7 linked regions of the Oryctolagus cuniculus genome follow. The protein of the gene in region 7 interacts with the protein of the main gene of each other region in a pairwise test. Links are inferred from orthologs where the notes say so. Each region holds a gene or a part of one and is shown on either strand. Other genes may lie near its edges.

What was found.
Region 1: the proteins of FHL2 (region 7) and SP2 interact in binary tests that used the Homo sapiens proteins (3 or more experiments, as listed by UniProt). The two-hybrid records come from large-scale screens. The link is inferred for Oryctolagus cuniculus from reciprocal best matches to the Homo sapiens genes FHL2 and SP2.
Region 2: the proteins of FHL2 (region 7) and GNG12 interact in binary tests that used the Homo sapiens proteins (3 or more experiments, as listed by UniProt). The link is inferred for Oryctolagus cuniculus from reciprocal best matches to the Homo sapiens genes FHL2 and GNG12.
Region 3: the proteins of FHL2 (region 7) and KIAA1217 interact in binary tests that used the Homo sapiens proteins (3 or more experiments, as listed by UniProt). The two-hybrid records come from large-scale screens. The link is inferred for Oryctolagus cuniculus from reciprocal best matches to the Homo sapiens genes FHL2 and KIAA1217.
Region 4: the proteins of FHL2 (region 7) and ZNF131 interact in binary tests that used the Homo sapiens proteins (3 or more experiments, as listed by UniProt). The two-hybrid records come from large-scale screens. The link is inferred for Oryctolagus cuniculus from reciprocal best matches to the Homo sapiens genes FHL2 and ZNF131.
Region 5: the proteins of FHL2 (region 7) and SAXO1 interact in binary tests that used the Homo sapiens proteins (3 or more experiments, as listed by UniProt). The two-hybrid records come from large-scale screens. The link is inferred for Oryctolagus cuniculus from reciprocal best matches to the Homo sapiens genes FHL2 and SAXO1.
Region 6: the proteins of FHL2 (region 7) and ID3 interact in binary tests that used the Homo sapiens proteins (3 or more experiments, as listed by UniProt). The link is inferred for Oryctolagus cuniculus from reciprocal best matches to the Homo sapiens genes FHL2 and ID3.

Annotation. Positions count from the first base shown.
Region 1 is NC_091448.1:24,182,599-24,186,541, forward strand, and holds the start of SP2 (transcription factor Sp2), read left to right. Parts: upstream 1-1,143; 5' UTR 1,144-1,590; coding exon 1,591-1,951; intron 1,952-3,943. UniProt on the Homo sapiens protein: Binds to GC box promoters elements and selectively activates mRNA synthesis from genes that contain functional recognition sites.
Region 2 is NC_091438.1:104,714,618-104,718,578, forward strand, and holds the start of GNG12 (guanine nucleotide-binding protein G(I)/G(S)/G(O) subunit gamma-12), read left to right. Parts: upstream 1-1,161; 5' UTR 1,162-1,279; intron 1,280-1,367; exon of another isoform or gene 1,368-1,522; intron 1,523-3,961. UniProt on the Homo sapiens protein: Guanine nucleotide-binding proteins (G proteins) are involved as a modulator or transducer in various transmembrane signaling systems.
Region 3 is NC_091444.1:105,128,045-105,131,544, forward strand, and holds part of KIAA1217 (sickle tail protein homolog), read right to left. Parts: intron 1,241-3,500; coding exon 420-1,240; intron 1-419. UniProt on the Homo sapiens protein: Required for normal development of intervertebral disks.
Region 4 is NC_091445.1:68,707,333-68,710,832, forward strand, and holds part of ZNF131 (zinc finger protein 131), read left to right. Parts: intron 1-1,673; coding exon 1,674-2,356; intron 2,357-3,500. UniProt on the Homo sapiens protein: Plays a role during development and organogenesis as well as in the function of the adult central nervous system. May be involved in transcriptional regulation as a repressor of ESR1/ER-alpha signaling.
Region 5 is NC_091432.1:182,004,870-182,008,975, forward strand, and holds the start of SAXO1 (stabilizer of axonemal microtubules 1), read right to left. Parts: upstream 2,801-4,106; 5' UTR 2,505-2,800; coding exon 2,458-2,504; intron 1-2,457. UniProt on the Homo sapiens protein: May play a role in the regulation of cilium length. Stabilizes microtubules at low temperature.
Region 6 is NC_091438.1:147,378,166-147,382,454, forward strand, and holds ID3 (DNA-binding protein inhibitor ID-3), read left to right. Parts: upstream 1-1,489; 5' UTR 1,490-2,255; coding exon 2,256-2,555; intron 2,556-2,665; coding exon 2,666-2,725; 3' UTR 2,726-2,748; intron 2,749-3,297; 3' UTR 3,298-3,791; downstream 3,792-4,289. UniProt on the Homo sapiens protein: Transcriptional regulator (lacking a basic DNA binding domain) which negatively regulates the basic helix-loop-helix (bHLH) transcription factors by forming heterodimers and inhibiting their DNA binding and transcriptional activity.
Region 7 is NC_091433.1:103,248,674-103,252,280, forward strand, and holds the end of FHL2 (four and a half LIM domains protein 2), read left to right. Parts: intron 1-2,498; coding exon 2,499-2,650; 3' UTR 2,651-3,107; downstream 3,108-3,607. UniProt on the Homo sapiens protein: May function as a molecular transmitter linking various signaling pathways to transcriptional regulation. Negatively regulates the transcriptional repressor E4F1 and may function in cell growth.

The sequences.
Region 1 (3,943 bases), on a different chromosome or scaffold from region 7:
CCCAGTTGTTCCTCTTCCAGTCCAGCTCTCTGCTGTGGCCTGGGAGTGCAGTGGAGGATAGCCCAAGTGCTTGGGCCCTGCACCCCATGGGAGACCAGGAGAAATACTTGGTTCCTGGCTTCAGATCAGCGCAGTGCATTGGCTGCAGCGCACTGGCCGCAGCGCGCCGGCCGCAGCAGCCATTGTGGGGTGAACCAACAGAAAAGGAAGACTTTTCTCTCTGTCTTTCTCTCTCACTGTCCACTCTGTCTGTCAAAAAAAAAAAGAAAAAAAAAGAAAGAAAAAAAAAAAGTAGAGGCAGGACCCAACTCCAGATACTTGATATGAGTATGCGGGTGTCACAAATTTTATTTGTATTTGAAAGGCAAAGAGACAGAGAGAATCTGCTGGTTCACTCCCCAAATGCCTCAACATCTGAGGCTGAGCAGACCAAAGTCACGAGCCAGGCGCTCAATCTGATCCTCCCAGGTGTGTGTCAGGGGCCCAAGTACCTCAGCCATCACCAGCCGCTTCCCAGGGTGCATCAGTAGGAAGCTGGTATAAGCAGAGGCAGGATTTGACCCCAGGCACTCAGATATGGGATGCAGGTGTCCCAAGAAGTGGTCTAACCCCCTGTGCCAAACGGCAGCCCCAGCAATGGGGCTGTGCGAGGAGTCTCTCCGCAGAGGCTCGGACACACTCTCCGTCCTGAGGAAGTGGCAAACAGGCCTGGTCAACAGCGGGTACTTGTTAAACTGAATCTCAATGCCAGCCTGCCCTGGCTGCGGGGCTGAAAACGCAGGGCAGCTGCTTCTGGGAATGCCTTGGGCGCCCCCTGGTGGTGACCACGAAGGCTGACGAGACACCAGTGCCTTCCCACCTAAAGGAAGACACTTCCTGGGGCCCTGCTCTTTCTTCCTGGGCTCCACAGACCCCAGCCCCAGGGAACTGGGGGTGGGAGGAACCAGGGCACAAGGAAGAACCCTGTGGGGAAGGATGGGGGGAATGTCTCACTGGAAGATTCCATGGCAGTTGGTGGGCAGCCACTACCGGCCTGGGCAGGGAACCAGGGGCAGAGGAGTGGATGAGAAAGGCCGTGGCTCAAGAGCTGCTTCCCTGGGCAGCAGAGAAAGGCAGGGGGCGGGGGCGGGGGGGACGGCAGCTGTGTGTGGCCCTGGGCCAGGGAATGAGGTGGCTGCCGGGGTGTGACAGGGAGCCGCGTCTGCCAGCCTGTGAGTGCTTCACGGTCATAAACATGGAGCTGAGCTGGATCACTGAAGACGTGGACGGACCCAGAACGCACACGGGCCATGGCGACCGGCCCCTAGGCGTCTGTCCGTCCCCTCGAGCCGTTCCCTGGCTGGGCGCCGAAGAGCCCCAGAGATGGTTTGCAAAGTCTGCGGCTCTGATGCCTCCATGGCTCTGCAGAGATGGGCAGCCACCGTCCAGCCAGCGGTCAGGGCTGGCGTGGCAGTGCCAGCACCGACAGCACGGCAGACTCAGAGCCGCCACCGCCCTCTCTCCCATGCTCTCAGCACCCCGGGGAGGGCCCCTCACCCTCTGGAGCCCAGAGATTAGATGTGAGCAGCTACGTGCAGAAGAGGACAGGAGATGCCCAGGAAAAGGAAAGGGGGGAGGAGGTGGGCAGGGAGGGAGAAAGGATGTGGGGGCGCAGGATGGCGAGGCCCGGAAGAGAAGTGGGTAGGACTGCGAGCAGCCGTCAGGACCAGCGAGCGGCAGCCGCCATGCAGCTTACTGGAGCCAGCCATGGGCCGGCAGTGGACGGGACGATGGCGGACAAGACAAACCCAGGGCCTGGAGTGGAGGGAGACGAGGACCTATGCAACTAGGAATGGGGAGAAAGTGACACCAAAGACACTGAAGGCAGCAGTGGCGGGAAGGGAAGACGGGGAGAAGACAGGAGAGATGGCTGCCCTGCACCCACGGCCCTGGCTCCACGAAGATCCAGCAGGTAGGGTGGGGCAACTCAGCAGGGGGCGGGCAGGAGTGAGTGGGGGTGGCAGGTACCCCCGTTCTCACCGGCACCCCATGGAGCCACGTGGGGAGCTGCTCCGTACCCAGGCCTGGGCTCTATGGCTTTCCGTGGATGCGACCCAGACGTTGGAACGTGTTAAAAGTGGTCGTGAGTCTAAAGCGTGGCCAGGGACACAGTGGACGCTTAGGGGCCATCTTGGAAGGGGAGAGCTCTCGGCTGGGGGAGGGTTTGTAAAGGAGGCTCAAGGCCCCCGATGGTCCCGACATGAGGACAAGGGGTCATCTCCTCAGCAAGCCCCCTTCCTGGCTGTACCTCTACTAAGAGTAAGAAAAGAGAGCGTTCCAAAGGGCAAACCCAGCCACACAGCTCAAAACCCCTCCACGCGCTCTCCTGGGCCACTTGTGCCGCCTTCGAGCTGGGGCCCTGGGGAAGCTCCTGTGCCAGGCGAGGTTGGCGGGGGCCCAGCGGGGTGTCCCACCCCACCACCCCCGAACCCCTGCACCCTGACAGAGCTGAGTCACCGAGCCCGGGTGGAGTCCCGGGCTTGACAGTGAAGCAACTGGAACTGGAAAGCTGGCCTGGAACAGAATGTATGGGCTCTAAACAAGGCCCAGGAGAGGTGACTGTATGCAAATGTTCATTAACTCAGCATACCTGACGTCCTCCCGCACTGGCCTCAAGCCTCCTCCTTTTTTTTTTTTTTTTTTTTTAAAGGCGTATTTATTTATTAAAGTTAGGGAGAGAAGGAGAAAGATCCTTCATCTGCTGGTTCATTCCCCAGATGGCTACAATGGGCAGGGGTTGAGCCAGGCCACAGCCAAGAGCTTCTTCCAGGTCTCCCATGGGGAAAGGGGCCCAAACACCTGGGCCATCCTCCACTGCTGTCCCAGGCCACTAGCAGGGAGCGGGATGGGAAGTGGAGCAGCTGGGTCTCGAACTGGTGTCTGTGTGGGCTGCTGGCGTTGCAGGCGGTGGCTTTACCCACTACGCCACAGCGCCCGTCCCCTTCCTCTTTTTAAAAAAGATATACTTTATTTTGAAAGAGTTCTATACAGAGAGAGACAGAAGGAGAGAGAGATCTTCCATCCCCTGGTTCACTCCCCACATGGCTGCAATGGCGAGCGTTGGCCCAGGCCAAAGCCAGGAGCCAGGGGCTTCACTGGGGTCTTGCAACGCGGGTGTGGGGGCCCAAGCACTTGGGCCAACTTCTGCTGCTTTCCCAGGCCAGCAGCAGGGAGCTGGATCGGAAATGGAGCAGCCAGGACACAAACTATGGGATGCTGGCGTGGAGGGCAGCAGCTTTACCTGCTATGCCACAGCGCCGGCCACTAATGCAGGAGAGTCAGAAGTGAAAATAAACGTGTGTAAATAGTGTGACGGACGCCTTTCACGCGTGCCAAGAACAGGGCAGAACACGGGAGCAAAACGCTTCAGCTGGGTGGGGATGAGGCGTGCAGACTCGGGCAGGGTCTTGGAGGATGTGTAGGAGTTGACCGGGAGGCAGGGCAGGGTAAGAACTGGTAGGTGTTTAGGAATGAGGGAAAAGGACAGGATTTGTGGGTGGAGGAGAAAAACCCACAGGCGTGTACAGGGCTAGAAAGCAGCCTGGCTTTACCCGGAAGGCAGAGAACCTTCCATGGAAGGTTCTAGAGATGTTGCCTGATGTCTTTCTAGGGCTGACACGGAGAGGGGTGGCCTGGAAGAGACTTTTAACATTGCCTTTCGCTCTGTGTTACCACAACAGCCCTTTCTGACGTGCTGTTCAGGCTGCTGACTTCGACAGAGAGAAGAATCGAGGAGAGGGGAATGGGCACGTGCGCAGCCGCAGAGTCGCAGTGTTGAGTGTAGGGGCTGCTGAGCGGGCGCTCGTTCTAGGCACTTGTTCGAGGGCACCGGGTCTGAGCACGACCGTGTGTTTCCCCCGTGGGATGAACACGCAGGGGAGAGGGGAGCCGGCCCCGGGCTGCA
Region 2 (3,961 bases), on a different chromosome or scaffold from region 7:
AGAGTGAGTACATCAAAGCATCTAATAAACTATAAAGTGCCCCAGAAAGGGAAATCGGTGGTAGGGTTGTAGGAGTCAAACTTGTAAGGTCTGGGGCCAAAAGGTGCAAACCCTGTGCAACAAGTCCTTGTTGGTTTCAGGCTATAATGGTTATGATGTATCCTTTGAATCTTGTCTGAATCAGTCGGATGTTTCCTAATGCTATACAGAGCAGGAAGTCAAGGGCTTCTCTGGCAGGCTGTGGCTTGTGCGCCAGCAACCACTGCCATCCACAGGTTGCTAAGACCACACCATCAAGGGCAAGGCACCCAAACACACACTCCCTGCATCTGGGACACCCCCTTGTGCACCCTGCCCAAATGATTTCACTAAGACTGATACTGAGTAATGGGCAGGATTGGAAGGATGTCTGTGACCCACTTCTGAGCAGCTGGTAAAACTCAACACACAAGACTCCACCTCAAGCATGGCCTCTGCCCCCAGTGGTTCCAAGTCCCCAACTTGGGCCTCATCTTCTCTTTCATCTCCACCCAGTTAAGCAAGAATGCAGATACCTGGGGATACTCTGTAAGTCTGTTAGCCAGCAAGACCTTCTGTAGCTTTTCTGGCTTCGACACTTTTTGAGGGCAAGCCCCCTGATTTGTGTCCCCATCTTTCGCTTTAGCACCTCGCTTGGCATATAGCCTGTGCTCAGTGTTTGCTGGGTGGCTGGATGAAGTCCAGGTTAGCAAAAGCGGCTCTTCAACTACCTGACCCCGAATCTGTCCAGAAAAGCTCAACCAAACCCAATTAATTCATTGCTCAGGGCTTTGCCAAGTTCTGGACATCAGGAAACACACATTTCATGGGGGTGGGGAGTGGACAGGAGGCAAGCTCAGGATGGGTGGACGCGCCATCAAGTGCAAAGATTCGCTTTTACCTCCATTCTCTGGGGAGCAAAAATCTCTCCGTGGCCCCAAGGCGCTTTAAATGGTACTGAGCCTGTTTTCCTCAGAAATTTCTGGAGCCCAGCCTAACTTTTGTGCAGGGGTTTGGCAGCGCTCATCTTCGGGGGCCCAGGGGACCGATGGCACCAGGCTGCCAAGGCGCTTGCACGCGAAGGGAACTCGCGCGGACCTGGCGGGGCCCGGCTGAGAGGCGGGTGGGGTTGGGCCGGGGGGCCCTCGAGTCCCTGGAACTCCAGCACGCCATGAGAATTCGGGGAACGGACGACGGCCCAGGGCGGCCAGACCCTTCGCTGAGCCCCGCCGGCTCCCGACCCGGGCCCCGCGGCCGCCGGGTACAGCGGCTGGGGCGTCTGGGCCGGAGGTGGGGGGGCCCGCGGCGGAGGAAGGAGACCGGGCGGCCGCCGCCCCGCCCGTCGGGCCGCCCGCCCCGCCCACCCGAGCGAGGCGGAGCCGGCGCCCGAGGAGCGGGAGGAGGTGGAGGAGGAGGAGGAGAGGTCGGAGCCGTCTCCAGGAGCCCTTGGAGACCGAGTCCCCGGTGGCGGCAGCGGCGGTGGGGGCAGCGCAGCGGCAAGCGAGTGAGCTCCGGGCGGCGGGCGCGCGCGCTCGGGGAGCCGGGGCCCCGCGGGCCCAGGGGCGCAGCGCGGGGCGGCGGCCGCCTCCGAGCCCCGGGTGCTGGGAAGCGAGATGGAGGGAGGGAAGAGAGGAAGGAAGGAGGGAGGAGGGAGGAAGAGTGTCCCGGAGGGCGGGGACTGTCGGGGCACTGGGCGCCGCAGAAGGGGGTGGAGGACGGAGGTCGAGGGACGCCGAGACCTGGAGACCGAGACGGCGCGCGCGCGCCCTGGACGGGCGGCGACCGGAGGGCGCGGGAAGCCGGGGCCGAGGGCTGGGGCGAGGGACGCGGCCCCCGGTGGAGAGTAGAGGCTGGAGGCGAGGCTTCCCCGCGCGCCTGCTCCCTCGCCGGCCCTCGGCCGCGAGCCCCGCGCCCGGGTGGGAGGTCCCCAGTGTTCCCAACCCTTCTTGGCTGAGGTGCCCGGCTTTGGAGGAGGGCCGGCGGGCGGCCGGGGGCGCCACGCCCCTCTTCCCTACTTTTCTGCGCTCTCTGGGGACCAGAGCCTGGCGGCGCCGGGAGCCTAGCGGGGAAGTAGCGGGTCGCGCGGGGGAGAGCCGCGGGGACACCCCGGGCGCAGCCCCGGAGCCTGCCCCTCCGCAGCCTGTGCTTGCAGGTGGTAAGGAGGAGGTCAGGGCTCCGCTGGGGTCTGGCGTGATTTTTTTTTTTTTTAAGGTGTTACCCGGACACTAGTACCGCGGATCGGGTTGACTTTTGTTTTGGTTTTAATCGGGGCCTGTCGATTAAAGATCATTTGAAAACGCTGCCACCAAGTGTCTCCTAAGACTCGCCGCTCGGCTTCTCGGAATCTTAACGAACTTGACTTCAACCATTCATAACTTGGGAAAGGGAAGCCGTGGTTCTCGTTCACCTTCCCGCGTGTTGGGGGGAGAAACTTTGGACGGCTAGAAATCTGGGGAAGGGGCTCGGCGAGGCCTGGCACGTCGCGGTCACCCTCAAACCCGTGGCTAGACCAGGGCAGAGCCGACCCAAGCCCGGGGGCGGACGAAGGTCCCCTGCGCCCACGCGCCGGGGCGCGCTGGCCGGCTGCTCCGAGTGGGAAGCCGCCGGGGGCTTACTGGACCCTGTGGAGTTGGACCGACTTCACAGGATTAGCTTCCTCCGCGTCGGTTATTTCCTCTCCCCCTGCTGCCTCCGCGGACACTGTTTATATTTCCTGGGGCGGTTGTAGCCTCGCCTGAATAGATTGTCTATAATGAATCTTGGGACGTCTGTGTCTCTGTGTTGTCGGTTTTAAACGAGGAGTTTGGCTTTGCTATTAAAGTGGTAGTCCCCAAACGCTGCACTGCCAAGCAGCAGGAGGGGGCCCTCACCCAGGAGAACCGTGCAGGTAGCGCCCCCATGACGGATCGCGTTTGACTATTGCCAAAATAATCCATTCAAGTAAGCTAGGTTTTTTGTTTTTTGGTTTTTTTTTTCTAAACCAGATGGTATGTATTAGCAGCCCCCCTTTCCAATAAACAAAACGTGTGATCCACACACATAATTTTTTAAAGTAATCAAACATTTTCCGGAGACTTAAGTGATAAAAGGACTTTCTGGATCAAATGTTAAATTCCTTTACCATCTCTAACAGTTAACCAGCGCCATAAAACCCTGGGTTGAGTCCAGAAACTGCTGACCAGTCTTTTGGGTGTTTAGACTTTATCCTTTATGCTGTTGTTACTTAGCCCGGGTCATTTAGTAGCCAGCCCTAGGGCATAAAATGCTTTAGATTTGGGTAGAAATAAGTAAAAATGGGAGGTGTTAAACAAGAGATTGAAAAATGGGAGTACAAACGTTTCCTATGAAGAAGCTCCTATCTTGTCTGAAAGACTAGCTCTCTAACAATTGCGTTTGTGTTGTAGGGTTTGTGTTGTTACTTGTTAGACAACAGGGGTGGTTCCTCAGTGTGCCAGAGCACAGGGCTTCAGAGTCAGGAGGCTTGAGGAAATAGTTAGCTAATACCAAATTAGTTTTTTTTTTTTTAATTTTTGTATTTGAATGTTGATTCCCGCTCTCTCTAGCAAGAAAAGGACTTCTAATTTAGAATTACGTCATTCACTGTTGGGTTTTTATTAGGTGACTTTCTTGTTGTTGGTTTTGGCTTGGCTTTTTTTTTTTTTTTAAAGTTTTATGTCAGCTTAAACTTAACCTAGGAAGGTTAGCCTAGTTGTGGAAGTCAGGCATGTTTTTCTGATCCCTAACTTGGAAAAGCAGCAGTTTAACAGCCGTTTCAGTGTGGGTTCGGTGTTTGTCAGACCTGGGTGAGAATTCTAGTCATTTAACCTTTTTTCAGTTTGGTTTATAACATTGGATTTTTAGTGGTCTCTGTCTCTTGAGTGTTTATGAAAGTGTATGAAACAATCCTTGGAAGACACTTGGACTGAACCTCACCCACAGTGAA
Region 3 (3,500 bases), on a different chromosome or scaffold from region 7:
GTTTTTATCAATCCTGAAGACAACGACAAAACAAAACCACATTCTAAACGAAAAACGCCAAGCGCCACTCAAACGCCTCCTCCCTGAACCCCTCACTCCCTAAACCGGACAGCAGAGCAGTGACCACAATCCCTGGAGACGTCTGTGTCCCATGGTTCCTGCACGGCCTGACTTTCTTCAGCGTGGCTCAGGTGCACAATGGTGACAACACCGTGAGACCCACACCCCAAGGCCTGCACGCTGTTGACCCCACGGGTGCACCTGTCCCGCTCAGCACAGCCTCACCGGACCCCACCCACTTGGAAACACTTGGCAGACCAGGGTCAGCTGTGGGCGGCACGAGGCTGGTGCGTGCCCTGTGTTCCCTGGGGGACCCCTGGAGAGCAGCCCAGCTCTCGCCCACTCTCCCCACGCCTTACCTGGTCTCTCTGTCTTTGGGAATAGTGGCTGTGCTGTAGGTGAATACTTGCTTCTCGACCAGGGGCGGCCCGAGGTCCACAAAGCCCGGAAGGTTCCGTGGCTTTTCCAGGTACACCAAGGTGCCCGGCTCCTTCTTGAAGGACTGACGGCTGGGCGAGGCGCGGTCGGGCTGCAGGGTGTGGGGGAGCCCGTGGGCGCCGTGAGCCGGCAGGTCCAGCATGCGCAAGTCGCCGACCCGGTGCGGGGAGGCGGGTGGCGTCTTGGCGCCCAGCGTGGGCAGCTGGCTGTCGGGGTACTTTCTGGGTTTCTGCCGGTACAGCGCCTGCTCCATGTGCATCTCGGCTTGCAAGGAGGGGTTGCAGTAGGCGCTTGCCGAGCGGATGGCTGTGCGGTGGTAGGCGACAATGTGGTCGGGGACATCAAGGGGGTGGCCTCCATGGGACGAGGCTATGCTCATGCGCCCGTCGTGGTAGAGGTAGGGGTCCGCGTAGAGACCCTCGTTCCTATACATGGCCAGGTTCTTGCCTCCGAGGTCCTCATCCGGCTTGACGTCCCGTCTCTCCAGGATGGCACTGGGGCTGGGGGAGATGGATCGGGAGACGGGCAGGCTGGAGAGTCTGTCCCTGGGGATGGTGGCGTTGCCAGGCACCATCATGGGCCGGGAGCCCCCGTACGGGATCCTGGACGGGGAGGGGGGCATGGAATGGGGCACGGGTGTGGACGGCGGGGAGCTCGGGATCGCGTGGGCGGGATGAGCCATGGAGCCGGGTCGGGAGGCACCGGGGCCTTCTCCTCGTGCGTAGACCATTTCCCTCTGCATCTGCAAATACAACCAGGCATGAGAACGTGGCCTTGACACCCAGGTTTCGGGGCGTCTCGATGTGACTGATGGTGTGGCCTCCTTGAGACCCCCCTCCCCCAGCCTCCCCCTGCCTACCCTGCAAGGTGTTCATGCCTTCATTTCTGGAACCTTCCCCAGGCTCAGGGACTTTACAGGTATGGAGAAGTTAAAGATGATGGGGGCCTGCGCTGTGGCCTAGTGGGCTAAGCCTCTGCCTGCAGTGCGGCATCCCATAAGAGCGCTGGTTCTAGTCCCAGCTGCTCCACTTGCGATCCAGCTCTCTGCTATGGCCTGGGAAAGCAGTAGAAGATGGCCCAAGTCCTTGGACCCCTGCACCCATATAGGAGACCCAGAAGAAGCTCCTGGCTCCTGGCTTAGATCGACATGGCTCTGGCCTTTGTGGCCATTTGGGGAGTGAACCAACGGATGGAAGACTTTTTTCTCTGTCTCTGCCTGTCTGTCTGTAACTTTACCTCTCAGTTACATAAATTAAGAACTCTTTAAAAAAAAAAAAAAGAAGCTAAGAATGTTGAGATGGGTGAAATGCTCTCCAGTGGGCCCAATGCAATCACGGGGTCCTCATGAATTGGACAGGGGGCAGGGCAGGGAGGTCGGGACGGGGGGAAGCTGTGCCACACACAGAGAGACCAGGGATGCCACACTGCTGACAGTAAGGATGGAGAAGCAGGCAGGTGTCCCCAGAAGCCGGAAAAGACCAGGAAAGGGAGGCTTCCTCAGGGCCTGTGTCCCTGTAGGATGCAGTGACCTTGGCCAGGAAACCCATTTTGGATTCTTGCCCCTCCCAAGTGTCAGATAACAAACTCGAGCAGCTGTACATCGCTAAGTCTGCGGCAATTCGTCACAGTGACTTCAGGCAGCCAGTGCACCCGACGTACAGCCCTGTCTCTCGGGCTTGAGGGGAGAAGATGGAGAGTCGAATGGGCTAGTAGTGCTGCAGCGGGGCTTTCCAAAGCTTCCCCTGTGCACGTCTTCCCCCCAGGAACTCTGGGAAATAGTAACCCGGCTTTCCCAGGTCTCCAAGCTGACGCAATCGAGGGATGGGACCAAGGAAAGCTCAGAGGGAAGCTGTCTTCATCCGCCAACCCTGCGGCACCCAGAGAGAGACGGGGAGATGAAGACGCTCTGGGGACCGGCCGCACCAGCAGGGTGCACCAGCAGGCGCCTTCAGGAGAACAGGGACTTTCTGCTGCGCTTAGGGTCAGACCAAGACCCGCGAGGGGCAAGTGCACTGGATTCCCCAAAAGGCCCAAAGGGCACCAACAGCTCCAGCTCCCCATTTAAGTCTGCTCTGTGCCAGCACAGGTGCCCACGTGCCCCATCCTGCTCCCAGGAGATCTGACTGATTAGAGGCGTAAGTGTGGGAGGGCGGGGTGAGGAGACAAGAACCAGGATGATGGGGCCGGTGCTGTGGCACAGCAGGTAAAAAGCTGTCTGCGCTACCAGCATCCCATATGTGTGCCGGTTCGAGTCCTGGCTGCTCCACTTCTGATCCAGCTCCCTGATTATGGCCTGGGAAAGCAGTGGAGGATGACCCAAGTGCTTGGGCCCCTGCACCCATGTGGGAGACCTGGAGGAAGCTCCTGGCTTCGGATTGGCCCAGCTGTAGCCATCTGGGGAGTGAACCAGTGGATGGAACATCTCTTTCTGTCTCTCTCCCTCTCTCTTTCTCTAACTCTGTCTTTCAAATAAATAAATAAATCTTAAAAAAAAAAAAAAAAGCCAAGACCCTTGGTGAGCATGATGGGGAAAGAGTAGAAATCAGAGGCAACAGGAGAAGGCTTGAAATGAGACAGAGCCCCAAACGACGCCTTTTCATACGCATGCATAGGACCAGCCAGCATCCACTGCTCTGAGCAAGCCAAGGTCCTCACCCATGAGGACATGGGCCAGGACCAGCCCTCTGAGCTGTGGGAGCACCCCTGCACGGGCCTCTCAGCCTCCACCCAGACAACCATTTCTGGGGAGCCCCAGGGGGTGCTAGGTCCTTGCCCACCCCCCATTGGGTTCCCACCACAACAGGCTGGGTGGCTCCCCCTCTTGAAACCCAGCCTGTGATGTCCTCCAGCCGTCCTCACCCTGTGATCACAAGCTCGGACTCCAGGTGCACCTGCTCTGCACGGCCCCCAGACTTCTCTCTGTCGCCGCCCCGCAGACAGCCACAGAACTCGGTAGCTCGGTGCCTGAGACCAGGAGGACCCCTCCCAGCACGCCTGCCTGG
Region 4 (3,500 bases), on a different chromosome or scaffold from region 7:
CTACACCACAATGCTAGCCCCTTGTAATCATCTTTTGGAGGAGGAAGACACAGTTCACAGTGATAGCAATAAAGTGGAAGATTCTTTATTGTCCAGTTGTGACTATACAATTTGGTCAATGTGTTTACCGCCAAATTCCGTGAACTTTCCTCATAGTCCGTTAATTGCTATGTGATGTTTCATCCTTCCTCTTTTTTTTTTTCTACAGATTTATTTATTTGTTTGAAAGGCAGAACATGAGAGAGAGAGAGAAGGAGAAAAGGAGGAGGAGAGAGAAATATATTCCCATCTACTGGTTCACTCCCCCAAATAGCTGCAATAGCCAGAGCTGGACCAGACCAAAGCCAGGACTGCATCCTGATATCCCACATGGATGCAGTGGCCCAAGTCCTTAGATCATCTTCTGCTGCCTTCCCACATGCAGAAACAGTACTTGAACTAGCACTCAGCATCACAGGCTACTGTTTACCCTGCTGTGCTGCAATACCAGCCCCTCATGCTTTCAGAAAACCTTACCTTGTTTTGGTATCCTGTCCTCAGTGCCAGAAACTGACAAGAATTATGAGGGATCTGAGGTTTTGCTCACAAGCTAGCAAGTTATTCCACCACTGGGTGATGGATGCTGGTAGATCAGAAGACTTAGGGGCCCAAAGGACAGGATTTTATCACCATCCATGATCACAGCAAGTAGCAGAGTTTTGAGTTGACACTAGTTTTCCCTTCTTAAGTCGTCCCACAGGGGTGGCATAGGATGGCCCAAGTGAATGCTGTATGTGTGAGTGGTTTATATCATAGCTAAGGAATATTTAGCTTAGAAAACCCAAGTCTTTTATGATGAGCTACAAGCAAACCTGCCTGGCCTTTATCCTAGAGGGAGGGACTATTGTCCTTATTACATGGGACAGTAAAAAACCTTTCCTGTCTGTACTGTGTGCATGTATCTGTGAAGAGTCCAAAACGTTTGTAAGATTTTCAGACACTCAAGAAACTCTTAGAGAATAGTCTTTCAACAGGTGTCATCTTTTATTGCGCTTGTTGTAAGATAGCTTATCCCATTCTGGATATAATACTTTTGACAGATGGATGTTTATAAATATCTTCCATAAATTGCCTCTTAATTAACTGTAATTCTAAAGGGTAGAAATTTTTAATTTTGATGAAATTAATTTCACCAGATTTTGCTGTTAGGGATCTCTGCCTTTTTTTTTTTTTTTTTTTTTTTTTTGGTATGCTACTTTAGAATTTTTTCACTAGATTGCCTGCAGATTTTCTTGAAATTTAATAGTTTTAGTTCTTACATTTAAACCTGAGGTCTACTTTTTTGTGTATGATGTGAGATAAGGGTTATTTTTCCCATACACATACCAGTTCTGGTACCATTGTTAAAAAAATTAGCTTTCTCCATTGTATTGCCTAGGAACTTTTTTTCTTATGGAAATAAATTTAATGTACAAGTGTGGATCTGTTTCTGCACTTTATTTTGTTGTGTTTATCTTCATATTTATACTTTACCAAATGTCATTGTCATAATTGTAGCTTTTTAGTAAGTCTTGGGGTCATAAAGTATAAGCTATCCAACCTTGTTTTCTGTTCTTCTGTATCAGTTTCTTCAGAAAAGCCTTTTAAGATTTCAATCTTACAGATTTTTAAAATCTACACATTCTGTATTTCAGAAACAAAGAAAATTCAGCTCCATTAGAGGAGAATACCACAGGAAAAAGTGAGGCCAAAAAAAGGAAGATTGCAGAAACTTCAAATGTTATCACTGAGTCATTGCCGTCTGCAGAATCAGAACCTGTTGAAATCGAGGTGGAGATTGCCGAGGGCACGATCGAGGTGGAAGATGAAGGCATCGAAACGTTAGAGGAAGTGGCTTCTGCTAAGCAGTCCATAAAATACATACAGAGCACAGCTTCCTCTGATGATTCCGCTCTAGCACTGTTGGCAGACATTACCAGCAAGTACCGTCAAGGTGATAGGAAAGGACAGATTAAAGAAGACGGCTGTGCATCTGACCCCATAAGCAAACAGGTAGAAGGTATTGAAATTGTGGAACTTCAGCTGTCACATGTGAAGGACTTATTCCATTGTGAGAAATGTAACCGTTCATTTAAATTGTTTTACCATTTTAAGGAACACATGAAATCACACTCCACTGAGAGTTTCAAGTGTGAAATATGCAATAAAAGGTATCTTCGGGAGAGCGCATGGAAACAGCACCTAAATTGTTACCACCTTGAAGAAGGTGGAGTCAGTAAGAAGCAAAGAACTGGGAAAAAAATTCACATTTGTCAGTACTGTGAGAAACAGTTTGACCACTTTGGACATTTTAAAGAGCATCTTCGAAAACATACAGGTAATGAGCAAGTACTTTTATTTTTTTTATTTATTTATTTTTTTTTTTTTTTTTGACAGGCAGAGTGGACAGTGAGAGAGAGACAGAGAGAAAGGTCTTCCTTTGCCGTTGGTTCACCCTCCAATGGCCGCCGCGGCTGGCGCGCTGCGGCCGGCGCACCGCGCTGATCCGATGGCAGGAGCCAGGAGCCAGGTGCTTTTCCTGGTCTCCCATGGGGTGCAGGGCCCAAGCACCTGGGCCATCCTCCACTGCACTCCCTGGCCACAGCAGAGGGCTGGCCTGGAAGAGGGGCAACCGGGACAGAATCCGGCGCCCCAACCGGGACTAGAACCCGGTGTGCCGGCGCCGCTAGGCGGAGGATTAGCCTAGTGAGCCGCGGCGCCGGCCAGCAAGTACTTTTAAAAGTTTGTCTTTTCCACATTCTCTTCAAGTCCAAATCCTTTCCTTGAAAAAAACAGTGCTACAGAAACCCACTTTCTGTATTAATCTGAAGGCTAAGTACACTGTTTTTTACTAATATCTTGGTGAAATAATGATTCAAGTGCAAAACAACATCAGCCTTGAGAGTAATTATCAGTTAATGCCTTGCCGGTTTTTAGATTTTTCAAAGAAATATATAAAATATAGTTTGTGATATATTTAGGAAAGGATCATAAATTATTAAATCCTGATTGTAGTTGAGTCTTTATTGTTACTAACTTTGTATTTCTCAAGTTAACATGTTTCGTAAGTAAGCAATACAAGCAATCTCTGACATGTTTATTCTTTTTTTACATGCATTTAGTTAACTGTTTTGATTCACCAGCTAAATTGGCAAAATACATGACCATATCCCTTCAGCTCTTCAGTGACAAGTATGTCAGGATTGGTAGGCAGGAGGAGGGTAAGGTCATTGTACTGTTCTTTCAGCTGGAGCCACTCCATACAAGAGACGGATGTTCTAGGAAGACTGCCCCAGTGACCCCTGCCCCTCAGAGTTCTGCATCTCCTGCTTGCCTACCTTTTGCCTGCCCAATTCCATGTCATTTCTGCCTCCCCCAAAGCATTCTTCCCTAGGTCTCTGTCAGACATAGTAGCTCCCACCAATGACTTGACCATTGGGTAGTCCCGACCCATTATAACAGGGTGTAGAGTAGAGTTACCA
Region 5 (4,106 bases), on a different chromosome or scaffold from region 7:
TCCACAAATCACCAGTTGTAAAAAATGAGGGGGAGGGGGGCTGGCGCTGTGGCGCAGTAGGTTAATCCTCCACCTGTGGAGCTGGCATCCCATAGGGCGCTGGTTCTAGTCCTGGCTGCTCTTCTTCCTATCCAGCTCTCTGCTATGGCCTGAAAAAGCAATGAAGGATGTCCCAAGTCCTTGGGCCCCTGCACTCACTTGGGAGACCCAGAAGCAGCTCCTGGCTCCTGGCTTTGGATCGGCGCAGCTCTGGCCTTTGTGGCCAATTGGGGAGTGAACCAGCAGAAGGAAGGCCTTTCTCTGTCTCTCCCTCTCACTATCTATAACTACCTCTCACAAAATCTTTTAAAAAGGGGGAGGGGGGCAGGTATTTGGCCTAGTGCTTTGCATGTCAGTTAAGAAAACATGTCCCAGGCACTGTGGTGTAGCAGGTAAAGCCGCTGCCTCCAACTCTTCCATCCCATGTGGGCATTGGCTCAAGTCCCAGCTGCTCCACTTCTAATCCAGCTCCCTGCTAATGGCCTAGGAAAAGCAGAAGATGGCCCAAGATCCCAGCCCCTGCTACCCACTTGGGAAAAGCTCCGGCTCCTACCTGGTCCAGCCCTGGCCATTGTGGCCATCTGGGGATGAAAGAATCAGTCTCTCCCTCTCTTTCCCCCTTTGTGTAGCTCTTTCAAATTAATAAAAAAATTTTAAAAAAGTATTCCATATCAGAATGCCTGGATTTGATATTCATCTCTGGCTCCCAACTCCAGCTCCTTGAAATTCAGATCCCAGCAGCAGCAATGATGATTCAAGTACTTGAGTCCCTGCCAACCACGTGGGAGACCAGACTCATCTGGTTACTGATACTTGAAATAAGCTAGTACAATTATAACAAGTTATGATTGTATTTCCTTTTAATTCATCGACATCGACATGAAATTGCTACATGTGGTTACTCTACTAGATAGCACAACTCCAAGTCTTGTATCTCTAATCCATTGTTGGCATGTTACTAACCTTAACAAGCAAAAAACATTCGTTCAAAAAGATATTTTGATAGCTATATGGAGAGAAATGTTTCAGTATTAAAAACACACAGTTGGAAATCATGGTTTCTGCTTTCCCAGAGTACACAGTCCATGGGAGCTGTGAAGCAGGCAGGCACAATCAGAAACAAGTAACACAGAGCAGGGTCTCTTTGACAGGGCCCTACAGAGCTGGGCTAATGGGAACCTTGCAATAGAAACAGGGCCTTAAAGGTCGGGCAGCAGGAAGAGGGACGTAGGCAATTGGGAGAAAGGAAGGGCGATGGTAAGGAACAGGGAGGGCCAATCAGAAGACCCAAAGCCAGCTGGAAGAGTGGTTCCAAGCAAAGAAATCACAGTGGGTAAAGCTAGCAAGGTGTTAGGGGCAGTTTCCAAACCTAACAAAAAAGAGCCAGGCAAAGAACCATTCTAAGAAAGATCGCGAAGAGGAAAGGACCAGACTCTGGAAACAGTTAAATGATGGTTCACATGCGAGGGGCAGCTAGTGGGAGACGGCTCCAAGCGGAGGGTCACGAGGCAGCCAGACGCATCAACAAGCACGGAGACTGAAATCGAAGAACAGAAAAGGCTGGGATGTGAGGTCCAAACCGGAGACTCCCGATTGAAACCAAGAGGGGGAGAAGGAAAGGAGAACACACTCCAGGACAGTCTCCACGTCTGAGAGAATTTTTGCAGGAACAGAAGGGAATAGAGGCAGAGAAGGGGCATCCAGGTAAGTCAGGCGCCTGCCGGGGGCAAGAGGAGATGTCTCACTGTGTACCCTCTTCATGAGCTTTCCTGCCATCCCATCTGTGCAAAGATGGAAGCACTGTCTTACACATTTCTATCCCAAACACTGTGCCTGGGCCCCTGCTGCCCACGTGGGAGAACCAGGTTAAACTCCTGACTTTGGCCTGGCTCAGCCCAGGTGGTTGTCGTCATTTGGGGAATGAATCAGCAGATGCAAGATCTCGGTCTCTGGCTCTCCTTGTCTCTGTAATTCTAACCTTCAAATAAGTTAATAAAGTAAAAGTCACTTTAAAATTTTTTTAAAGAAATTATCTTCCCAACCTGGGTCCTTAAAGAAGCACCCTAGCACAAAAGAAGCAAAGCTGGCCTGTGTTTTCGGTCCATGACACTCTCTGGGCTGCAAGGAAGAGATACAAGCTGTGCCAGGGCTGGGCCCACTTTCAACCTTCCTGCAGCTCTGACACAAGGAAAGCCCTGGGAACAGCTCCATTCACCTGCTTCAATTCAAGCCCAGCACATGAAGTGCTGGCTGCAGGCGCTGCAAGCTGACAACAGCGACAGGTGGGTGAGTCCACCTGCGCTCCTAGCTAAGCCGCAGGCTGAGGCCCCAGCCCCGCTTTGTGGGAAACGCCCTGCCTGGCTCCGGAGTCGGAAAAGCCAGGCTTCCCCAGCCTTGCGCTGGGCGCAGCCTCCTTACCCGCAAGAGCACAGGTCGCAGATGCACTTCCTCTTCACAGGGGCCATCCTGAGGCCCTGATGTCCCCTCAGAGCACCCCCAGCGGCAGCTGCTTGTAGACCCCAACAGCCCAGGAGGGAGCACGCTAAATCTCAAGGGCCTTGGCAGAGATTCTGAACATTCACACGAAAGAAAACCAAGTGGCCCTCTTGTAAAGTCTTGTCCTCCGTTCCCTTCCCGGAGCTGGCCTTGCGCGCCGAGGGAGCAGCACGGAGCCTGGGGGGGCCTCTCCCTGCACACCGCCCGGTCCCACTAGCCTGGTGCGGCCTCCCCAGCCCCTGGAAGCCCCAGGGCCCGGGATCACGGGTCCTCTATGACATCACCAAAGCCAGGAGGAGCACGCCTTGAGATGGTGGTGACATCACAAACACCGCTTGTGAGGTCGGGAAGCTCCCGGCACCTCCCTTGGGGGGCCCAGGACACAGTCTCCCCAGCGGACTTTGGGGAAAGCTGGAGAAACATTGGAGGGAAAGCTGCTGGGTGCTGCCATGCGCAAACGCCACGGTCAATTGTCCTAAGAGGCCGAAAACTCTCCTGCGGCGTGTGGAGTGGCGTTTTCTACTTCTAGGATCCACGGGTGCCCCGCCGATGGAAGTGCACCCCTTGACCTCCAGAAGGCCGAGCCCTGAGTACCGTTTCCAGATCTTCCTGTGGAAACCCACTCTCTAGCCTCAGGGGTCAAAGCCGCCGTTCCCCACAGTTCTGAGCGCTGGAGGACGAGGCCCTTTATGAGCGCAGGCTTTCACGGCTCACGTGGGTGCTCAATCCCTTCTCCAGGTGTAGGTAATGATGCCTTGGAGCAGCGCATCTGAGAGTTTAGTGGGCATCAGAACCACCCGGCTTGATTAAAAACCAGCTGCTGGGGGCTCCGCGCCGGGCAGGTCTGGAGTGGGCTGAGAATGGGCATTCCTTACAAGTCCTCTTGCTGATGCTGCTTGCCAGGGACCACACTCAAGAACCATGGTTCTAGAGATTCTTTGGCCCTCTCCCAGCAGCCTTCCCCCAACGACAGTGTTGCTTCCACTTGCCTGGCCCTGAGAACCATGGGAAGGAAGGAAACACCGCTTAGAAAGCAAGTTTGACACTTTTTCCCTCCAGGATGTAAGATACTTTTACAGCTCTGTTGTTAACACTTTTGGCTGTCTTCTTGCTTCAGTTAGGAATGCTTTGATGGTCAATTCTTCCCTGTTGATAGATACGTGATTTCCTAACATGAGATTTTATAAAAGAGGCTTTTTTAGGATGGCTTAAAGGACGGTATGTGAGCCCTAATTTGAGAATTACCCAACCTTGCTCCTGCTAGTGTGAGTCAGGGAGATCCTGTGGCCTGCTCTCGGCAGCTCTCCGTGGCCTGAAGGAGAAAATGCGCTTTTCCTTAAGGCAAGTGAATCGTGCCTTTTCCACGGCTCGGACCAGACCCTTTGTTCTTCACAGTACAAGGCCTGCTTGTTGGACATTCTGGGGGAATGGCTGTGATACTTGGTATTCAGTTGGCTGCATTACTGATGTGTGTGATTTTTAAACACTTGAAATATCAGACAATGTTGCATGTTTTAGAAACACATTTCATCCCTTCAGCTACCCAGGACCAGCGCTATTTAAGACATTAG
Region 6 (4,289 bases), on a different chromosome or scaffold from region 7:
GGTAATCAATAGAGTAGAGGGAGGGGCCCACCAAGCACCTATCCCCCCCCCGCCGCCCCCATGGAGGTCCCCAGGAAGGGCCGGTGGGGAGAAGCAGCTTGCAGAACGGGGCATTCAGTAATCACTTGAGCCGATGAGCTCCATTCTGTGGATGGGAAAATTAAGGCACGGAGAGGTGACACATCAATAAACGGAAAGAGTGCGTATTTGCGCATACATCTGCCTGTTCCGAAGGCCGTCACTTTTCTAGAATCTGCCGGGCTTGGCCCGTTCTGCACAAACCACTGCGCGGTAGAAGAGAGGCTCTTCTGTGGGGTGGCTGGGGAGTCCCACGACCGAATGGCTGGCACCTGACGCTGGCAGCGTCCTGAGACTGACTGTTCACAGGTTATTCCCTCTCTTATAGATACTAAAGCAGCCCCCTCATTGAAAAGGTTACTCTCCCAAGAGGAAGACTGTGGAAGGCCTTGTTCTCAGGACACACCGCCCGTGGTGTGACCGGGGCAGGAAGGAGGCTCCTAGACTGGTTCTGCTATGGCAGGTAGTGTGACATTGGACTTGTTTTACATCCTGTCTGGGCCCTTTGCCATCCTACACCTGCCTGTCCAAATCTCACAAAGCCTTCACCATCTACAGTTGGAAAGGGTTTTAAATAATCGCTTGGCACCGTCTCACTTTACTCCCAAGGCAGCTAAGGTCGGGGTATCTGGGTTTGTTCACCATTACCTGACAAAGGACTGGCCGAGCGGGCACACTGAATGCAGGGCTTCTGGTTTCCAGTCCCGTGTCCTTCCCACTGTCACTATTTTGAGTCTCCCAGGCCTGAGCCCCTATTGTCCTGTTAATCAACGCCACACACTATTGAACTCTTCATTGTTTCCTGTGTTGATCTTGTCTCCTCTAATTGTGACATTCTTGAGAGCGGGAGCCACTGTTTTATGCAAACGGAGTCCATCAATATTTGCTGATGAAGGAAGAAACCACTGGGGGGATGCTTCCTGGTCATTTCCAAGATGGAAACCAGCCTTGCGGAAATGCAGAGTCCCCAGAGTGCTGGAAGGTGACAGGAAGGCTGACGAGTGTCCCGTGGCAATGCTGGTCTCGCAGGAGGAGCTGCAGCCACCTCAGCAGGGCTGCGGACAATCAAGTCCAGGTGGCGGCCCTGCCCGGGCAGCAAGGGGGCAGAGACAGAGCCGCGGGCTCACCAGGGACCTCTGCAAGAGCTGTGTGGAAAGGTGCGGGGGTCGGGGGGGGGGGACCGTGCGGGGAGCTGGGAAGCAAAAGTTACCCAAGATGTGCTGACCCAATCGGGGCTCCTAAAAAGGTTTATATGGAAACCACTTCTCCTGCTCTCCCATATTGAAAACCCTGTCCAAAATTCATTTCCCAAGCACAACTGGGCATGCATTCGATTCCTTAAGGAGTTCATGGGGAACGAAGCCTCGGCTCTTTTCTTCCCCCATGCAAAAAGCACGCTGGATCCAGGCTTTCTCCTTTTTTTTTTTTTTTTCTCTTTTCCCCTGTTGCTCAAATAAATAGTGTTCTTTGCTCAAACCCCCTTCCCCTCCTCCTCTTGCAATCTCAGCGCCTAGCCCAAATCTGTTTTCTTCATTGTAACCTCAGCTTCACCGCAATTAATTTTTTTTCCCTCTGGTCACAAGATAATTCCTGACGCCAGTGAGTCTGGAGGTCAGACGAACAGCAAATTGGGGAACAAGGCGGCACTAATTCCTTACAAGTTTCCCTTGAAAAAATCTTTTGCTTAGGAAAAAAAAAAAAAAGCTTTGCTGTTTAGCGATTTATGACCTCGGAGGAGCTGTGGGTTCGAACCAGTGCTGGGTTAAGGGTGGCCTGGCAGGGGGCAGGGGAGCTCTAAGATCTGGGGCGCTGCCAGGAAAAGGCAGATTCTTGAAGTTAATGGTTTTAAGTGATTTTTTAAATCCTTGCTGGCGAAGAGGCCCGCCTATCCCCAGCATCAGCGCTTCCTCATTCCTTGGATCCGCGGCTCCGCGGTCTCCGGCGAGCGCCCAGCTCGAAGAAGCCTGTTAGCAATTTAAGCGGGCTGTGAACGCCCAGGCCGGGCGGGGGCGGGGGCGGGGGCGGGGCCGGGCGGGCCGATTTGAATAAGGAGGCGTGTCCCCGAGGCGGGCGCTATAAAGGGCGGGCGGCGGCGGGCGTGCGCGCATTGCTTGCTGCCCCAGTGGGTTTCTAGCTGTATCCTCTCGTGTGCATCTCCGAAGCCCTCCCGCTGCAACATGAAGGCGCTGAGCCCGGTGCGCGGCTGCTACGAGGCGGTGTGCTGCCTGTCGGAACGCAGTCTGGCCATAGCGCGGGGCCGCGGCAAGGGCCCGGCGGCCGAGGAGCCGCTGAGCCTGCTGGACGATATGAACCACTGCTACTCGCGCCTGCGGGAACTGGTACCCGGCGTCCCGCGAGGCACTCAGCTTAGCCAGGTGGAAATCCTGCAGCGCGTCATCGACTACATCCTCGACTTGCAGGTGGTCCTGGCCGAGCCGGCGCCCGGACCCCCGGACGGCCCGCACCTCCCCATCCAGGTGCGCGTGGGAGCCGGGGCGGGGTTTGAGCGCCCAGACCGGGATGCGGCGGGACCCCCGAGGTGCCGAGCGCTTTGCCTGACTCTCCCTTTGCTCTCCTCCTTTTGCAGACAGCAGAGCTCGCCCCGGAACTCGTGATCTCCAACGACAAGAGGAGCTTCTGCCACTGACCTGGATGACCTGGCACCTCCAGGTGAGTCTGGCCTCCCCGCCCCCCGGGGGTGGGTAGGGGCCGAGGGAGGCTGGAGTTGGCAGGCCTTTGAAAGGATTATCCCTTCCTTGGCGCAGGACCATTCAGGCCGGGGCGGGGGTGGGGGGCGCAAGTGAAATGTCGGTGGTCCCATCAAATGAATGGCAGAACCAGTTTCGGTCGAACGTGCGTTTCCCTGTTTAACCTTTGCACGTTGCCCCTGGCTGCATGCAGGGGCCAAAGAGCCAGGCAAGGAGGCGCGGTTCTGACCAAGTAAAATAGCCTTTCTGTTGGGAGTCATTTTAAAGGGCGCTGTGTCTTCTCCGCGCCCCCCCCCCCGCCCCGCCAGCAGTGTCCATTCTGGGGGGAGGGCGAGCGCAAGCTCCGCCTGTGGTCCTTTGGCGCCAACTTGGGTGGGGGCAGCGTGGGGCGCGGAGTTATCAGCTGGAGGTAGAGAGCGAGTTTCCGCCCTGGCGCCGGCCAGTCTGCGGACGGCCCCCGCCTCGGCGCGCTCGGCGGAAACTGACGGCTCCTCTCTTCTCCCCCGCCCAGAACGCAGGTGCTGGCGCCCGTTCCGCCTGGGACCCCCCGCGACCTTCTCCGGCCGGAAGCCCGAGGGCATGGATGGGCCCCAACCTCGCCCTGCCCACTTCACTCCCCCGAACCCCCCTGTCTCGAGCCTGGACCTGGCGCCCGGGAGCGAAGGACTGTGAACTTGGGTGGCCGGAAGAGCCAGAGCTAGCGCAGGTCACCAGCTGGGCGTCGTCACCCTGCCCCCACTACACCCTCAAAGTTTTCAGACTCTTCCCGTGGGGGGTGGGGGTGAGAGTGGGTACACCCCAAAGTCCGCCGAGGCGGCGGCAGGGCTGGTCTCCTGGTCTCCCTGGAGCAGCTGTTTCCCTGATTATGAACTCTATAATAGAGTATATAGCTTTTGTACTTTTTTACAGGAAGGTGACTTTCTGTAACCGTGCGATGTATATTAAACTTTTTATAAAAGTTAACATTTTACATAATAAACGATTTTTAAACACTTGTGTATATAATTTGGTCTCGTTCCCGTTCTTCTCATTCCCTTAAGCATTAATGCAGAATTTAGGGACACGGAGCCTCCCTGCCACTTGGAAAAGCAGAATTCCCAGCTGACAGGAGGGGGAAGGGGCTGGGGCTCCAGCTGGAGCTCCAGGCCCCTTGGGACTGTGCCCAGGAGAGACCTAGCCCTGTGCTAGGAAGGAGGCGTGGCACCTGGCAAGCTGGGGGCTCAGGCAAGTGGGACACTTGAGTTCTCGCATCCCCTGAGACCTAGCTAGCTGCCCCCTTCGTGTCCTTAATTATTCGTGATGGTTTTCTAGCAGAGATGTGGTAAGAGTGGAGCTTCCAGTTGGCCTTGCCCGGTGCCCAAACCTGTATGGTGGTTGGTAGACCCATTTCAGAGATGAATAAACTGATCACTGGACCTGGTTTCATTTCCCTCATGCTCTCTACTCTGGCTGCAGCCCTGGCTTCCAGAAGTCAGAAATGGAGAGGCCCGTCTCACATCTGCA
Region 7 (3,607 bases):
GCCTCCACCTCTGCTTCTCCAGCTTGGCTCTCCGCTGCAGAACCTAGCCGGTTTCCTACATGACAGATGCCCGCGTCATGATTTATTTGCGATGAGCTGGGTGTTGGAATGTTTCAGTTTCCCAGATATGCAGGGAAGTTAGCTTACCCCACCAGCTGAGTCCTGTGCAGTGCCAGGCACAGGATCTGTGAACCCTTGGTCTTTCATGGCCCTTGGGAGTCAGATTCGTGAGGGCAATTGGTGGTCTAGAAACACTGTTTATTTTGGCGTCACTTTCTTTAAACCATAAGGCGTTTAGGAAAAGAGATCTGCAAAGCTTCACTAATATAAATATCTGCTCCATCAGTAGCCATCAGTGTGGTATTAGAACTGGCATTGCATGTCTTGGGTTCAGGTCCCAACCCTGCAACTGATTGGTGGAGGAAGATTAACTCTAAGCTCTCCCTCCTGTACAGAGTTTAATGCCCAGCACCAGCCTAGACAATTCAGTTATAATGCGAAGGGCAATGCCATGCCAGAATCCCATATCTGAGAGCGAGAGCCATTTCAGGTCCTGGCTGCTCCACTTCTGATGCAGCTCCTGCTAATGGCCTGGGAAAGCAGCTGAAGATGGCCCAAGTGCCTGGGCCCCTGCACCCGTGTGGAAGGCCTGGATGGCATTCCTGGCTCCTGGCTTCAGCCTGGACCAGCCTCTGCCATTGCAGCCATTTTGGGAGTGAACCCTGGATGGAAGATCTCCCTCTTTCTCTCTCTCTCTCTCTCTGTTTCTCTATCATCCTGCCTTCTAAGTAAATAAATAAATTTTTCTAATAAAAAGTGTTACAACGGAAATTAGCTGGTGAATTACAGATTCCTCATCTAAGTCTGAGACCTCAGATTTTAGAAGTGGAGTGGTCGGTCTGCTTGCTTTGTTTTAGTATAGTTCATTAAGACTTTCTGGAAGGAATTCTTTGAAGTTGAAATTCATGACCCCCATTTCAACAGAAGTGACTTCCATTCTGACATCAGCATATGCGTTTGATTCTGTTTTATTCCAGGTGATGAACAGCAGCATAAATCAACTGTACCCAGTGTAATTAAAACAGTTGATGGGAGTTAGGCATCCAATATAAAGCGAACAGTTGTAATGAGATACTACTTTTCCTATGTACAATTACAAGACGGCCTTGTCCCTTGCCTCCACATTTTCCTGGTCTGTTTCCATGTATGCTAACAGCCTCATCTTATGCCCGCCCCATCTGACTGCACCGCCTGCGTTCACGCTCCTGGAGCTGTGTCAAGGACTTTACTCTGAGGAAGGCCCACTCCTTCTTCCCCACCCCCACACCACTTAGTTGCTGGGGCCTTCCCTGGCCGCCCCACCAGAGAAGATGAACCCTTTCCTCTTCTACATTCCTTTTTTTTTTTTTTTTTTTTTTTTGACAGGCAGAGTGGACAGTGAGAGAGACAGAGAGAAAGGTCTTCCTTTTGCCGTTGGTTCACCCTCCAATGGCCGCCACGGCCAGTGCGCTGCGGCCGGCGCACCGCACTGATCCGATGGCAGGAGCCAGGAGCTTTTTTCCTGGTCTCCCATGGGGTGCAGGGCCCAAGGACTTGGGCCATCCTCCACTGCACTCCCGGGCCACAGCAGAGAGCTGGCCTGGAAGAGGGGCAACCGGGACAGAATCCGGCGCCCCGACCGGGACTAGAACCTGGTGTGCCGGCGCCACTAGGCGGAGGATTAGCCTAGTGAGCCGCGGCGCCGGCCCTTTTTTTTTTTTTTTTTTTTTTTTAAAGATTTATTTATTTGAAAGTCAGAGTTACACAGAAAGAGGAGAGGTAGAGAGAGGTCTTCATCTGCTGGGTCACTCTCCAGTTGGCCACAACGGCTGGAGCTGCGCCGATCTGAAGCCAGGAGCCAGGAGCTTCCTCCCGGTCTCCACATGGGTGCAGGGGCCTAAGGACTTGGGCCATCTTCTACTGCTTTCCCAGGCCATAACAGAGAGCTGGATCGGAAGTGGAGCAGCTGGGTCTCGAACCAGAGCCTAGATGGAATGCCAGTGCCACAGGCAGAGGATTAACCCACTGCACCACAGCGCCACAGCGCCACAGCGCTGGCCCCTCTACACTCCTTTTAGCGCTTCATTTATTAAAGCTTTAAAAAAAAAAACCTCTGGGCAGCAGACACAGCAGGCACAAGGAGGGCCTGAGGAACCTGCTCCCTGTTCTGTTTCACGTGGGAAAACCTGCAATAAACTAGTGAACAGATACACACAGTAGGCCCTTTTTGTAGTATCACATCACTTCAGGGCCAGGCCCTGTATGTCTTTGTTCAACGTCTGTGGGCTCATGCAGGCTGCACTTAGTATCTGCCTTACACACAGCTCTCTGTCCAAAGCACACAGTGCAGACTTGGAAGAGGAGCCCGCGAGGACTCCTTCAGCCGTGGGGCTCCAGTCTAACCAGCGAACCCTCCCTTCCTGCCTTCATTCAGTGGTGGTGTTGTTCTTTGTTAACAGGAATTGGTGGCACAAAATACATCTCCTTCGAGGAGCGGCAGTGGCACAACGACTGCTTCAACTGCAAGAAGTGCTCCCTGTCCTTGGTGGGGCGGGGCTTCCTCACAGAGAGGGACGACATCCTGTGCCCGGACTGCGGCAAAGACATCTGAAGGCCCCGCGGGGATAGCGCGCAGTCGCTGCTTGAGTCACACACACACACACACATTTATGTATTTTCTTTCTCCACCAGCAATATTGTGCTCTGGCTTCCACCTGCCTCATGTGCTTCTCAGTGCTAGTCTTGTCTGTTTAAATCCTTTCATCTTCGGGACTAAGTCAGTCCCAGGGAAAAGCGAGAATCCTCATGCAACCCTACGTGGGAAGATAGTTTGGAATTTCTGTAGTTATTAGGGCCAATCCAATTGCAAAACTCCTCTCGAATGATGTCTTTATAAGCTTATCTTTCTTTTCACTGCATATTTAAGTGCAATTCGCATATGTCACAAACTTGACTTTTAAGAACTGTATAAGGTAATGAAGCATTGGTACCTACAGCTTTTAAACTTCCTGTTATGTAAAATCGAAAGCAAGAGTATGTGATTTACAATAAAGTTATTCCAGACAGAATGTTTTGGATTAATGATTAAACGTTGGGATTCTCAATGTAAGGACAACTTTCTTGCCTGGCCCAGCGATTGTTCTGTGCCCTGCAAGTTCTGATGTGCTGGGACCGGAAGTGGTGTCACTACTTCCAGGAAGCCTGCAGATCCATGTCTCTCCTGCCTCTTCTCTTTCTTCTCGTTTCCCAAGTGCTCCCTGGAACGCACTGCTCTGCATTTGAAGCCAGTGACAGGCAGGGCCATTTGGGTGTCACTTTTCCTGGCAGATGCTGGCTTTGTCCCACTGTGATGGATCTCCTACACTGAACTGCTTTCTCCCCCATCAAGTGAAGGACTGGGCAAGGGCACAAGCAACTTGAGGGCCAGAAGTGACATCCTGTTCATCTTTATACTCAGTATCCTAGCAACTGAGGGCATGTAGGAAGCCTTCAGTGTTTCTGCAAAGGGAATGATAGAATCATTGCTGTCAGAATACTACTCTGGGCGCCTAGGTTTACAGTGGCTGAA